2 linked regions of the Saccharomyces cerevisiae S288C genome follow. The protein of the gene in region 1 binds, or shares a complex with, the protein of each later gene. Each region holds a gene or a part of one and is shown on either strand. Other genes may lie near its edges. A codon is read from its position in the direction of its gene.

What was found. Proteins that work in one complex are often made in the same cells at the same time.
Region 2: the proteins of SMC2 (region 1) and YCS4 are in contact, whole or in part, in a cryo-EM structure (PDB 6YVV), measured with the Saccharomyces cerevisiae proteins. Residues at the interface, in NP_116687.1 of Saccharomyces cerevisiae: Ser53 (codon at 4,138), Ala59 (codon at 4,120), Ser60 (codon at 4,117), Leu62 (codon at 4,111), Gly111 (codon at 3,964), Gln124 (codon at 3,925), Asn139 (codon at 3,880); in NP_013374.1 of Saccharomyces cerevisiae: Val33 (codon at 2,398), Ile34 (codon at 2,401), Gln37 (codon at 2,410), Asn95 (codon at 2,584), Thr99 (codon at 2,596), Leu104 (codon at 2,611), Gln107 (codon at 2,620).

The regions. Positions count from the first base shown.
Region 1 is NC_001138.5:215,813-221,814, forward strand, and holds SMC2 (condensin subunit SMC2), read right to left. Parts: upstream 4,295-6,002; coding exon 782-4,294; downstream 1-781. Other genes in the region: MET10 (sulfite reductase subunit alpha), read left to right, coding at 1-607; 60S ribosomal protein uL2 RPL2A, read right to left, coding at 4,695-5,455, 5,603-5,606. UniProt on the Saccharomyces cerevisiae protein: Central component of the condensin complex, a complex required for conversion of interphase chromatin into mitotic-like condense chromosomes.
Region 2 is NC_001144.5:683,075-689,503, reverse strand, and holds YCS4 (condensin subunit YCS4), read left to right. Parts: upstream 1-2,301; coding exon 2,302-5,832; downstream 5,833-6,429. Other genes in the region: protein phosphatase regulator PIG1, read left to right, coding at 1-421; CMG1 (Cmg1p), read right to left, coding at 5,943-6,429. UniProt on the Saccharomyces cerevisiae protein: Regulatory subunit of the condensin complex, a complex required for conversion of interphase chromatin into mitotic-like condense chromosomes.

The DNA.
Region 1 (6,002 bases):
ATTGATCGTTGTTGTTGATTGGGTGGATAATAAAGGAAGAAAAAGGTACGGTCAAGCTTCTAAGTATATCTCAGACCTTGCTGTCGGTTCAGAATTGGTCGTTAGCGTTAAACCATCTGTTATGAAATTACCACCATCTCCAAAGCAACCAGTTATTATGAGTGGTTTAGGTACTGGTTTGGCACCATTCAAGGCCATTGTTGAAGAGAAATTATGGCAAAAGCAGCAAGGTTATGAGATTGGTGAAGTCTTCCTATATCTAGGTTCAAGACACAAAAGAGAAGAATATTTATATGGTGAGTTATGGGAGGCTTACAAAGATGCAGGTATTATCACACACATCGGCGCTGCTTTCTCAAGAGACCAACCTCAAAAAATTTACATTCAAGATCGTATCAAAGAGAATTTGGATGAATTAAAAACTGCAATGATTGATAATAAAGGTTCATTTTACTTGTGTGGCCCTACTTGGCCAGTTCCAGATATTACTCAAGCTTTGCAAGACATTCTGGCTAAAGACGCCGAGGAAAGAGGCATCAAAGTCGACTTGGATGCCGCAATTGAAGAATTAAAGGAAGCATCAAGATACATTTTAGAAGTCTACTAAATTAATATAGTAATAAAAACTAAATATCTATTTATTGAACCTGTCTTGAACATTTCTATTTTTTTTTTACTTTTAGTTTTCTTCTATGCGCAAGCTTTTCTATTGGCTGCCAAATAGAAAATTATTGAAATATGATTACATTACAATATTTATTTGTCTTATGAAAACTAACCATCACATTATACTAACTACGGAGGTACCATCTTGAAATCTCGTCCTGAAGACCCTATTAGCATTGGCAAACATACCTTCTTTAAGCGAGACTACAATGAACTGAGATCCTTTAAACCTTGTTTTAATCAAATGACCTATATTTTGCGTATGACTTAAATCAAGAGCAGCATCAACTTCATCCAAAATATACATAGGCGCTGGTCGAAATTGCAACAATGCCATAATCAATGACAAAGCAATCAACGACCTTTGCCCACCGGACAATTCAATCAAACTTTCCTTCCATATATTACCAAGCTTTACTTTAACCTCTAAACCCTGCGTTACGTCCTTACCTTCGCATGGAACCAATTTTGCAAATGAATTTGGTAAAAGGTCTGCAAAAATATTACCAAAATCAAGTGTCACTTTCTCCCATGTTTTGACTAAAGTTTCTCTTTTATATTCGTTCAACTTCGATATAGTCTCTTGGATTTTCATCTTATCTTTTTCAATCGTTTTAATCATTGTTTTTAATGCTGCCTCCTTTTTCTCAACATTTTCTATCATATTCATAATATTTGGATTAACTTTTTTTCTGAGCTCTTGAAACTTCTCGTTCAATTGTTTACTCCTTTCTCTGTAAGTATCCAAATCGATACCCTCATTTTGTTTGACGATATTTCTCACCAGATCAAAATCCTCAAGAAATTCGTGTTTCTGTCGCAGATCTTCAATTATCTTTTCCATGTTGTTCGTATTAGACTTATATTTGTTCAAGTCATGGACCAATTTTTGTAGTTCTAATTCACTGCTTTTTTTCTCGTCCTGTTTTTTCTTTATCAATGTTTCTAATTCATTTAGTTCATCATCAATGTCCATCAACCTTTTCTTTTCTTCGTTCAGTTCTGTCTGGACTGTTACAAGGTCGTCTTCAACACCTCGTATCTTTCCCTCCAAATCAGAATTTTCCAATTTCAAACTTTCAATAGATTTCAAATGGTTATGCAATAGCGTCTTATTAGAATCTAGTTCTGAGCTCAATTGCTCTGTTTCTAATTCCAAGTTTTGAAACAAGTCATATTTACGTTCTGACTCCGATTCCTGCTCCTCCAGCTCTTTCGCCAATAGTTTCAATTCCTTCTTTAATTCATTTAACTTGGATCCTTTATCGCTATCGTACTCCTTCATGTCTTTTTCAATGGTCGAAACTTCTTCTTGACATTTCTTTAAGCTCATTTGCTTGGTTTTGATTTCATTCTCACACTCTCCAATGTCCCTCAAAATTTCTTCATTCCTAGCAATTATTTGGGAAGATGGATTCGCGTCGAGATTACGCTTAGCCAAATCCAATTTATGCAACGAGAGATTTAAATCACTTTGAATGGTCTTTGTTTTTTGCGATGTAGCATATTGCGTCTGTAGCTCTTCCGTTACATGGTTGAGATCAGCCTGAATGGTCTCAATTTGTTTTTGAATTTGATTGTATTTTTGAATATCAACTAATAACGATTCAGAGGTATTTCTACTACCACCAGACAATGTACCCTCTGGGTCGTATACATCACCTTGAAGGGTGATACTTCTAGCGCGGATCTTTGGATGGAAGGTAATTTTCTTTGCTGTTTCCGGATCTTCACAGATTAAACTATTTCCAAAAATAAATTCCATCGCTTTAGTGATAGATTCATCAAACCTTATTAAATTTATTGCCAATTCAACTTTCCCAGGAGCAATTTTCTTGGCTAAATCAAGCACTTGAGAACTTATTGGCCTCGTATATATCTTATCAAGAGGTATGATGGTAACACGCTTGCGTAATCTTCCTCTTTCTAATAGCTGAGTGGCCGTCTGAGAATCTTGAACAACAACATTGAATAGCCTACCTCCGGCACAAGTTTGCAAAGCAGTAGCATAGCGAATATTATCATTATCTATCTGGAAAAGTTGACCCACCACCCCATGGACAAAGCTGGCTTCAAAATTAGGATAAGGTTTCGTATAGTTAAATTCCAGATTTGTTACGCGTCTTTTTAAATATTCAGAGTTCTTACATGTTTGATAATAATGGCTCTTCAATTTATCCTCTCTTTGCTTCAGGTCTTTAATTCGTGATGGATCAAACCCATATTCGACTAGTCGGGCTCGTAGTTTATCGCACGTTTCTTGGCATTGTTTAACATGCTTCACATTTAACTCGTTATCTTTCGTGGCCTCCTTTAATTTAGGTTCAATTGTCAATAGCTCTTTCTTCAACAACTCCATTTTCATGCTTGATTTTTTTATCGCCAAGGAGACTTCATTCAGCTCAGTCTTTGCCTTGGCCAACTGTGCGTTATAACCACCGTCTGCGGCACCGGTCGAGGAAATACCTGTGGTTAAAGTGGAAACTAATTCTTCTTTTCGTTTATAAAGATCCCTTTGTTTACTGAGTTGTTCCTGCACCATTTTATAATCCTTTTCAGTGTTAGCGTATGCCGATTTTTTTTCGATTAGCTTTGCAGAGGAACTTGCAATTTCTGACTCCAGAGCCTTTGATTTTTCAGTAGTATCATTCAAATTTTCTACTTTTATCGACAGTGAAGTTTTCAAACGAGAAATTTCATTTAAAAGACCGTTCTCCTTATTTTCCAACTTGGAGATTGTGCCTTCTTTGTGTAGTTCTTTTTCTTTCTGAAGTTTGATTTCCTCGACATCCTCATTCAAACTGTCTATTTCTTCGGAAGTTTTCTTAACAAATTCATTTAACATTTTCATACGAGTCTCACCGTTCTCCAGAGTTTCTCTTATTGATGTATGTTTATGTTTAATGTTATAGTATTCATAGGATACAACAATTCGTTCAGTTTTTTCCAAATCAGTCTGAGTAGACTGAAATTCTAGGAACATTCTCTTTTCGTTTCGAAGTTTTTCCAGTTTAGGTTCGATCTCTTCAGTTAACAGAGTCCTGTTCTCCTGTAATTTAGTTTCTTTCTTAGACATTGTTCTTTCTGCCTTTTCCCTACGATCCTCGAACATTTTTGTCCCTGCTGCCTCTTCAATCAGTGATAAGATCTCTGAGGGTTTCATATTCAAAACCTTGGTAATTTTACCTTGCATGATTAAAAAATTAGGATTATTGATATTTAACTGCACGGATTGAAATAGTTGCAAAACCGACTGTTGAGGTGCCCTATGCCCATTTATCAGATATTTAGAAGTTCCACCAAGCACGACTTGCCTTGTAACAGAGATTTGAGGAGAGTTAGTGAACCCAATGGGAGAATTTGATTTATCGGTATTATCAAAAACAATGGTTACGCTTGCCTTGGTAACACCTGCTTGACCACGCTTATAGATCAAATCTTGCAGGCTAGATGCTCGCACAGTGCTCATTGATGCTATACCGAGCACGAAGCAAATGGCGTCCAAAATGTTCGACTTACCGGACCCATTTAGACCTGTAATAGCATTGAATTGAGGGTCCCAATCAGTAATGACTGTTCTTGTAGCGTATGATTTGAAACCATCAATAATCAATTCCTCTACCTTCATGCGGTAACGATACTAAAATTGACTTGTATTTACGTGGTCTGCCTCGAGATTTCTTGACTGCACCGTGTGTTTACTGTTGTTGATCTTAAAATTAGAAATGCCCATCATCAGAGCCACGCAACACGGTAATCACTATAAACGCGTAAGGCAGAAAGCCATTTTATTCAAGAAGTCAACCCCCTCCATGAAGCAATGCTTCACAGGGGAGAAGGGGGGAGCTTATGAGAGTATATTAAAGTTTACTTTGAAGAAATATTCTATTACTACAGAACAAAATCTAATTTAGAAATTTTTCTTTAAAAATAAGTGTTATGTTATATTGTATTGTTTGCTTTGAGGAATTTTTTGAGTTATCTTTTTTTTTTTAGATCTTGCTTAAAGAATGACTATTTTACATAATCTAATCTTGGGTCTTTTGAGAACCACGTAACAAACCAGTTCTTCTGGCGGCAATCAAACCGGCCTTTTGACCAGAAACAGCACCTCTAGAGATGGTAGAAGCCTTACCAATATGTTGATGGTTACCACCACCGTGAGGGTGATCAACTGGATTCATGGCAACACCACGGGTCTTTGGCCAAGAGTTTCTCTTCAATCTGTACTTGTGGAAAGCACGACCAGCCTTCAACAATGGTTTGTCAACTCTACCACCACCGGCAATGACACCGATGACACCTCTGGCATCAGAAGAGATAACCTTCTTGGCACCGGATGGTAATCTGACTCTAGTCTTGTTTTCGTCTGGGTTGTGACCGATGATAATAACGTAGTTACCGGAAGCTCTGGCTAGGGCACCTCTGTCACCTGGCTTTTCTTCAACGTTGGAGACAATGGTACCTTCTGGGACAGAACCCAATGGCAAGACGTTACCGACGTTCAAAGAAGCCTTCTTACCGGCGTAAATGAATTGACCAGTGTGGACACCTTCGTTAGCAATAAAGATTTCTTCACGCAATCTGTACTTGTATGGGTCACGGAAGACAACCTTGGCCAATGGGGCACCTCTACCGGAGTCGTGGACAATTTGCTTAACGATACCACGAATGTAACCGTGACGTTCAGCATAATCCAAAGTTCTCAACTTGGCAGCACCTTGTCTCAATCTGGTGTGGGAGGTAAAGATAGAACCAGCACCCTTTCTTTGGTTACGAATAACTCTACCTGAATAAAAAATAATGAGAAAAAACACAGTTCTGTTAGTATACACGATACATTTTCAACAAAAGGAATAAAAAGACTGTAAAAGGGTGTGATGACATTGCGCCATTACGACAATCACATGGTTGTTAAATCACGGTGCTGACATACCCATTGCTTATTGATCTAATGGTTTCTTAGTTTGCTCAGAAATGGTTATTAGTCGCTAAAAAATGACCCAATAATAAAAAAAACGAGGTAATGATATTGAAGGAGGGGAGGGGCAGGGTTCAATCGATTATGCCTATGCGATAGTGCATTGCGTAGTAATCCATAGGTTCACATCCATGTGCACTGGTGCTGCGTTTGGCAATTCCCATACTATTCCAGATTGATCTGATCGTGCAGAGCAATGCCAAACCATCGACCGTAGGCCCAACGGTGAAACAATACGCGGAGAACGCTTAGCCGCTAGGCAGAACGCCTAGTTTACACAGTGGGAGAATGAGGATAGGCCTCTGCCTACGGTACCTTCGAATACAGGGAAAGTGGGAAGAGTGAGCTGCCGAAG
Region 2 (6,429 bases), on another chromosome or scaffold:
ACAAAAGCTTGAAGATAATTTGGCCAAAGAGTGGAAAAGCGCTAAGACAAGGACCACGTTAAACGAGACGCCATTACACGATGATGAGCATAGAACTTCCTTCACCTACACCACTTGGAATAATTCTACCGATACATTGATGAAAAGAAAAGAGGAGCGACCAGTAGAATCAGCCTCTTGTTCTCAGTTATCCATTGCAACCATAAAGGCGGAAGAAGATTTACTATACCAAGATTATATCAACAGCGGGAGGGAAAGCTCATCTCCGGAAATTTCTCCCTTGAATACCACAACCTCATTACCATTTTTTCCAGGTGATAATATGAGTGACAGCTCAGGAGAATATGAGGAGAGAACCTCTCTTAGCCCTAATAAAATTCACATTTTTCGTGATTATTTTTATAAGTCGCCGTCACCCTAACCATCGCCCATATTACAATAATAACAAAATCCTTGGAATGAAGAGAATAAAATTTTAATTAAAATTAATAAAATAGTTAATCATATTCTTTTGCCTTCATAGATTAGATATGAAATATTTTGCTCACATAAGTTAATATTGCTTTTGCATTTTTGTTTCTGACTTTAGTTTCTCATTAGTCGAAATGACTTTAGTTCTTTAGAAATATTTTAAATTCAGTGGGGGATTTTCGTTCTTTATTGGTGCAAATAACGATTAGTTTTTCATTTCACGATATTTAGCTGCAGTTGATAGGTGATATATCTGCTTTAACTCTTACCTTTACAGTTTGTGATGAAATGATAGGTTTAAACAGTCGTTTAAAGAGTTGTATAACAAAAGGACTCTTAACAATCGAAGTTTTTTTAACATGTTAACACCATCTTTAGTAAACGTTATATTATTGAGTATGTGAAATATACTAGAAGTTCTCCTCGAGAATATACGAATCAATAAAAGAGAAACAATATTTCTCCACAAAATCTTATAATTATTACACCTTTCGTTTTATATGTTTCATTGTCCTATTACATTATCAGTCCTTGCATTTCAGCTTCCATTATATTTGATGACTGTTTCCCAATCTTTATGCCATCTTGTTACACCGCATATGATAATAGATTCTAGTAACATGAATACTACTAATAAATGATATTTTAGAGTTTCATTTCAACAAATATACTATGTGAAACAGTAGTCAAATTTAATATGAAACCGAACATGCGAGAATTGAGGATTAATAGGATGTGAAACATATAAAATGGAAGAAAGATAATTACAAAATTTTGTGGAGAAATGTTGTTTCCATGTTATTGAGTCTTATATCCTTGAGGAGAAACTTCTAGTATATTGTGTATACATAATATTATATTGCCTTAAGCAAAATGGAATCCCAACAATTATCAAATTATTCACCAATTGATCATACACAATAGTTGATTATCATTTCAACATTATAACCTTATACAGAGAGTAATATACTAATGGATGAATACTACCAGTAGAATAAGACATAAACAAATATGATTAATGTCACTTTTTGCTTTTTTGCCGTCATTCTTTTTTATTTTTGTATAATTGGTGGTGTAACGTGGATTAAACATAAATAATAGGTTTCGTGGTCTAGTCGGTTATGGCATCTGCTTAACACGCAGAACGTCCCCAGTTCGATCCTGGGCGAAATCATTTTTTATACCTGTTATATTTCATAGAAATGTAGTAGTATTGCGAGATGAATAAAATGTCTGCTATTCAATAGTAAGGGCTTCTTTCCCCCACCTCTTTTGTTTGATTTTAAAATTATTATCAAGTAACGCGTTGTTTTCTTGTCGCGAGCCTTTTATTTACAACGAGTAAGGGTCAGGATATCTATGGAGTTTCTAGCTTGATCGTTATCACAAACTTTACTACTAAATGATAATTGTTGGTATGAACAGTATATATATATATATATATACATGTTCTGATCTTGAAAAAAAAATAAATAAAAAATGTTATTGATTGCAAGAATTTGGAAAGCAATTCATATGAGAAATTAAAATAACCAATTCCAGATTCTTTTTTTTTTTTTTCACTTTTCGAATTAAGTATCTTAAATACTGCACTTGTATATTTATATTCTTACTGTTGTAAAAAGAAAGACTAATGGCCTTTGTCAATTGCACTTTGGGTAAATTGGAAAGCAATAATATGAAAATTAAACGCATCGCGAAAATCTTGCGACCATTTAGTAAACAAAGAAAATAACCTGTCACTGACCAAAAAAAAGAAAGGTAAAGGAAGCAGCAGTAACAATATCTTTATCCTTTGATAGGTGGTAACTGACTTCGTTACTTTATGAGATGTCCGGCTTTAGCCTTTCCGAGTATCTGACCAAGTTCCAAACAACAGATCGAGAATCATATCCTCGCTTGCAGGACCCATCCAGAGAACTGAATGTTATCATAGACCAATTGGCCGTTTCACCCGAACAAATAGATGCTAGTCCAGATTCACTAGAAGCATTAATAGATCTTTGCCATGACTTCCCGCACTTAACACCGAAATTACAAACTCAACTAAGCTATTTGATAAGTTCATCTCTGTCGAATCTGTCAAAAGATATTAAGGCTAATCTCTCATCAAATGTTAACTTTACTGAAATTGGTGGCCTGATACCGCAGTGGAAAAGGCATTTAGAAGAGTATGGCTACCTTATTCAGGTACTTTTGACGTTTTTACAAGATGAGTTACATAAGGTCTCCTCGCAGTCTACCAATCTAAACCGTTCTGCCAAAAACAGTAAGAATGATAGTGCAAACGTCGAGCTGTTTAAAAGAGACTGTAATCAAATGGAAAACTTGCTTGAATCTATAACAAAGCTACTGGAGATTAACTTATCTAAGATATTTCAGACAACTCCTGAAAAGGATTTGTTTATTGGTTTGTTCACAAGACCATTATTTGTGTTATTAGAGATTGAACCTGTGACGAAGGTATCATCACTAAAGATGTTTATTCAAAGGATTTTGGCTATGTGTGTTAAAAATCACGGTCAAAGTTCAAGTATACAAAGTTCATTGATGACAAATTTAACTTATTTTCTTCATTTGTCGGTTTTTAATGCAGAATTACTAAAACTATTGAATGATGAATATAACTATCCACAACTAACAGAAGATATCTTGAAAGAAATCAGCACCAGGGTATTTAACGCAAAGGATACCACAGGCCCAAAGGCAATATCAAATTTTTTGATTAAATTATCAGAGCTATCACCAGGAATAATGCTTCGACAGATGAATCTTGTCATCACCTTACTCAACAATAGTTCTATAACATTGAGATGTTCCGTTGTAGAAGCATGTGGAAATATTGTGGCTGAATTGGCTCAAGACCCACAAACTATGGAACATTATAAACAACAAATAGCCGTACTTATTGAGTTACTAGAAGAAAGATTCCAGGATTCAAATCCCTACGTTAGAACGAAGGCGATACAAGGGTGTTCAAAGATCTGCGATTTGAGTTCGAAATTTAACAAAAGCAAAGCTAAATTTACTTCGTTGGCAGTACGATCATTGCAGGACCGCTCCTCTTTAGTTCGTAGGAACTCAGTAAAGTTACTTTCAAAATTATTGCTAAAACATCCTTTTAAGGCCATACATGGTAGCCAATTGAGGCTGAGTGAATGGGAAGAATATCTCAAAGGATCTGAATCACAGCTAAATTCCACTTTAAAGAAAGTAGAGTCACAAGAAACTCTGAATGACACGATTGAAAGGTCTTTGATTGAAGAAGAGGTAGAACAAGATGAAGGTCAATGTAGGACCGAGTTAGAAGGTTCTTTCAATAAGAGCGCAGAACTTTCTAGAATAGAAAATGAGGTAGAGAATATAAATGCAACAAATACCAGTGTTCTCATGAAGCTAAAGTTAATGATTGTTTACTATAAAGATGCCATTAGTTTCATTAAAGAGATACACAAGAGTATTGAATTGATATCTAATTTGCTGTTTTCTAAGAACAGAAACGAAGTTTTAGAATCAATGGACTTCCTAGTTTTAGCAGACGCTTTTGACATTGAGTTAAGCGAATTTGGTATAAAAAAAATGCTGCATTTGGTTTGGATGAAGGGCACAAACGATGAAGGAACGAGTATATCAGTACATTTGATAGAATGTTATAAGCAGCTATTTTTAACCGCGCCAGATAGTTGCAATATGCAGGAGAAGGCGGCACATATTGCCAAAAATTTAATTAATCTAAGCATCGGCGCATCTATTGCAGACTTGGCCTCTTTGGAACAGCTATTAGGAATGATGTATGAACAAAAATTGATTGATCAACATGTCATTAATATCCTTTGGGCTATTTACAATTCTGCATCGAAGGCCAGTATGCAGAAAGAACAAAATGTGAACAACCGTGACTCCGAAAAAGGGTTTTCTAAGGAACAAATTCATGGTTCTATTATTATTTTAGGAATGTTATCGTTAGCCGATAACGAAATAGCATTAAAAGGACTGGAGTCACTTTTAAACATTGGACTTGGTGCCGTTGGTTTAAAAGATCTGACCCTTTGTCGGTATTCTTGTTTAGCGTTAGAGAGAATGGTTCCCAAGAGAAGCACTATTATTACCAAGGCAATAAATCAAGAGCTTGAAGATGTTGCAGTGAAAAAGTTGTATGCCATAATTATCAACTATACCAAGGATAATGAATATTATCCTATGTGCGAACAAGCGCTTAGTGCACTGTTTACAATCTCTTCTAAGCCCGATATACTAGCTACAGATCTGATTAGAGAAAAGACAATGATGACATTTGGTAAACCTGAAGAGGAAGACTCTATTTTGTCGTTAGAACAATCATCTAGAGTTGTTTCTCTCAGTCAATTATTATTCATTGTAGGACAAGTGGCAATTAAAACACTTGTCTATCTAGAGAAATGTGAGGCAGAATTCAAGAAAAGAAAGATCGAGGCAGAAACTCGGAACGGTAAAGTAAAAAACCAAGGTGCAGATGTAACTAACACCACACAAGATAACGGTGGTGATAAAGAGCTAGAAATGATAGGAGGTACTAATGAGGACGATTTCACGGATGCTATTCAATTTGTAAAAGAGAATGAATTACTATTTGGAGAAAAATCTATATTAGGGAAGTTTTGCCCAATTGTAGAAGAGATTGTTTCTAATTCAAGCAGGTTTAGCGATCCAATGCTTCAAAGAACGGCAACCTTATGTCTAGAAAAACTAATGTGTTTATCATCAAAATATTGTGAAAAGAGCCTGCCGCTATTAATCACAGTAATGGAAAAATCTCCTGATCCTACTATTCGCTCAAATGCTGTCTTAGGACTAGGTGACATGGCAGTATGCTTCAACAACTTAGTAGACGAAAACACAGATTATTTGTATCGCCGTTTGCATGATGAAAACTTAATGGTACAAAGAACATGTTTAATGACAGTTACCTTCTTGATTTTAGCTGGACAGGTTAAGGTTAAAGGACAATTAGGAGAAATGGCCAAATGCCTAGACAATCCAGACCAGGGAATAAGTGATATGTGCAGATTATTTTTCACCGAGTTAGCATCCAAGGACAACGCCATTTATAATGGATTCATCGATATCTTTAGTAATTTATCGTCAGATGATTTATTGGGTAAGGAGAGTTTCAAGAAAATCATCAAATTTCTGTTAACTTTTATCGATAAGGAACGGCACCAAAAGCAATTAAACGAGAAATTAGTTGGAAGACTGAGAAAGTGCGAGACCCAAAAGCAATGGGATGATATTGCATTCGTACTAAACAATCTACCATACAAAAATGAAGACGTCACTGCATTATTGGAGCAAGGTTTCAAGGTTGTATCCGCAAAAGAATAATCGAACTGACGTTTACCCGTTTCTTCCGTTTTATATTATATGTTATTATATAAATAAAAGCTGTTCATTTCTTTCTTCTTGAAATATGACTTTACCTATCTCGATAAAATTCATTTGTGGTCGTCTTCATTCACTCCTGGGCAATGCTCGTAGAGATCACCTTCATCCTTATACTTGATTCCGCAAAAAAAACAGTAGTACTTCTCGGACCTCAGGAATATATTCAATTTTGTTATTCTTTTTTCAATGCTCAATTCTTCTAATTCAGCAAGTTCTGTGTCTTTTGTAATGCGACTACCGATAATTGAAGTATCACAATCTATTAATGTAGAAGGACGTCCAAACTTTTCACCTTTTATTGCAGGCGAAGCCTCCAAACTTTCATTTACCATTGGTATCATATTATTCTTATCTTCATTATCATTGTTACTGTGATTATTTAGGTCATTTTTTGCTACTTCCTCATTTAGTTGCATAACGTAAGATCTCCAAAGTACGTTAAAGTCTCTCGGATCTTCGCCTGGATTGTATAAATCGGAATCACCCATCATTTCAAAAGCAACTTTTTGGATCCTATACCAAATTTTTTTTAACCGC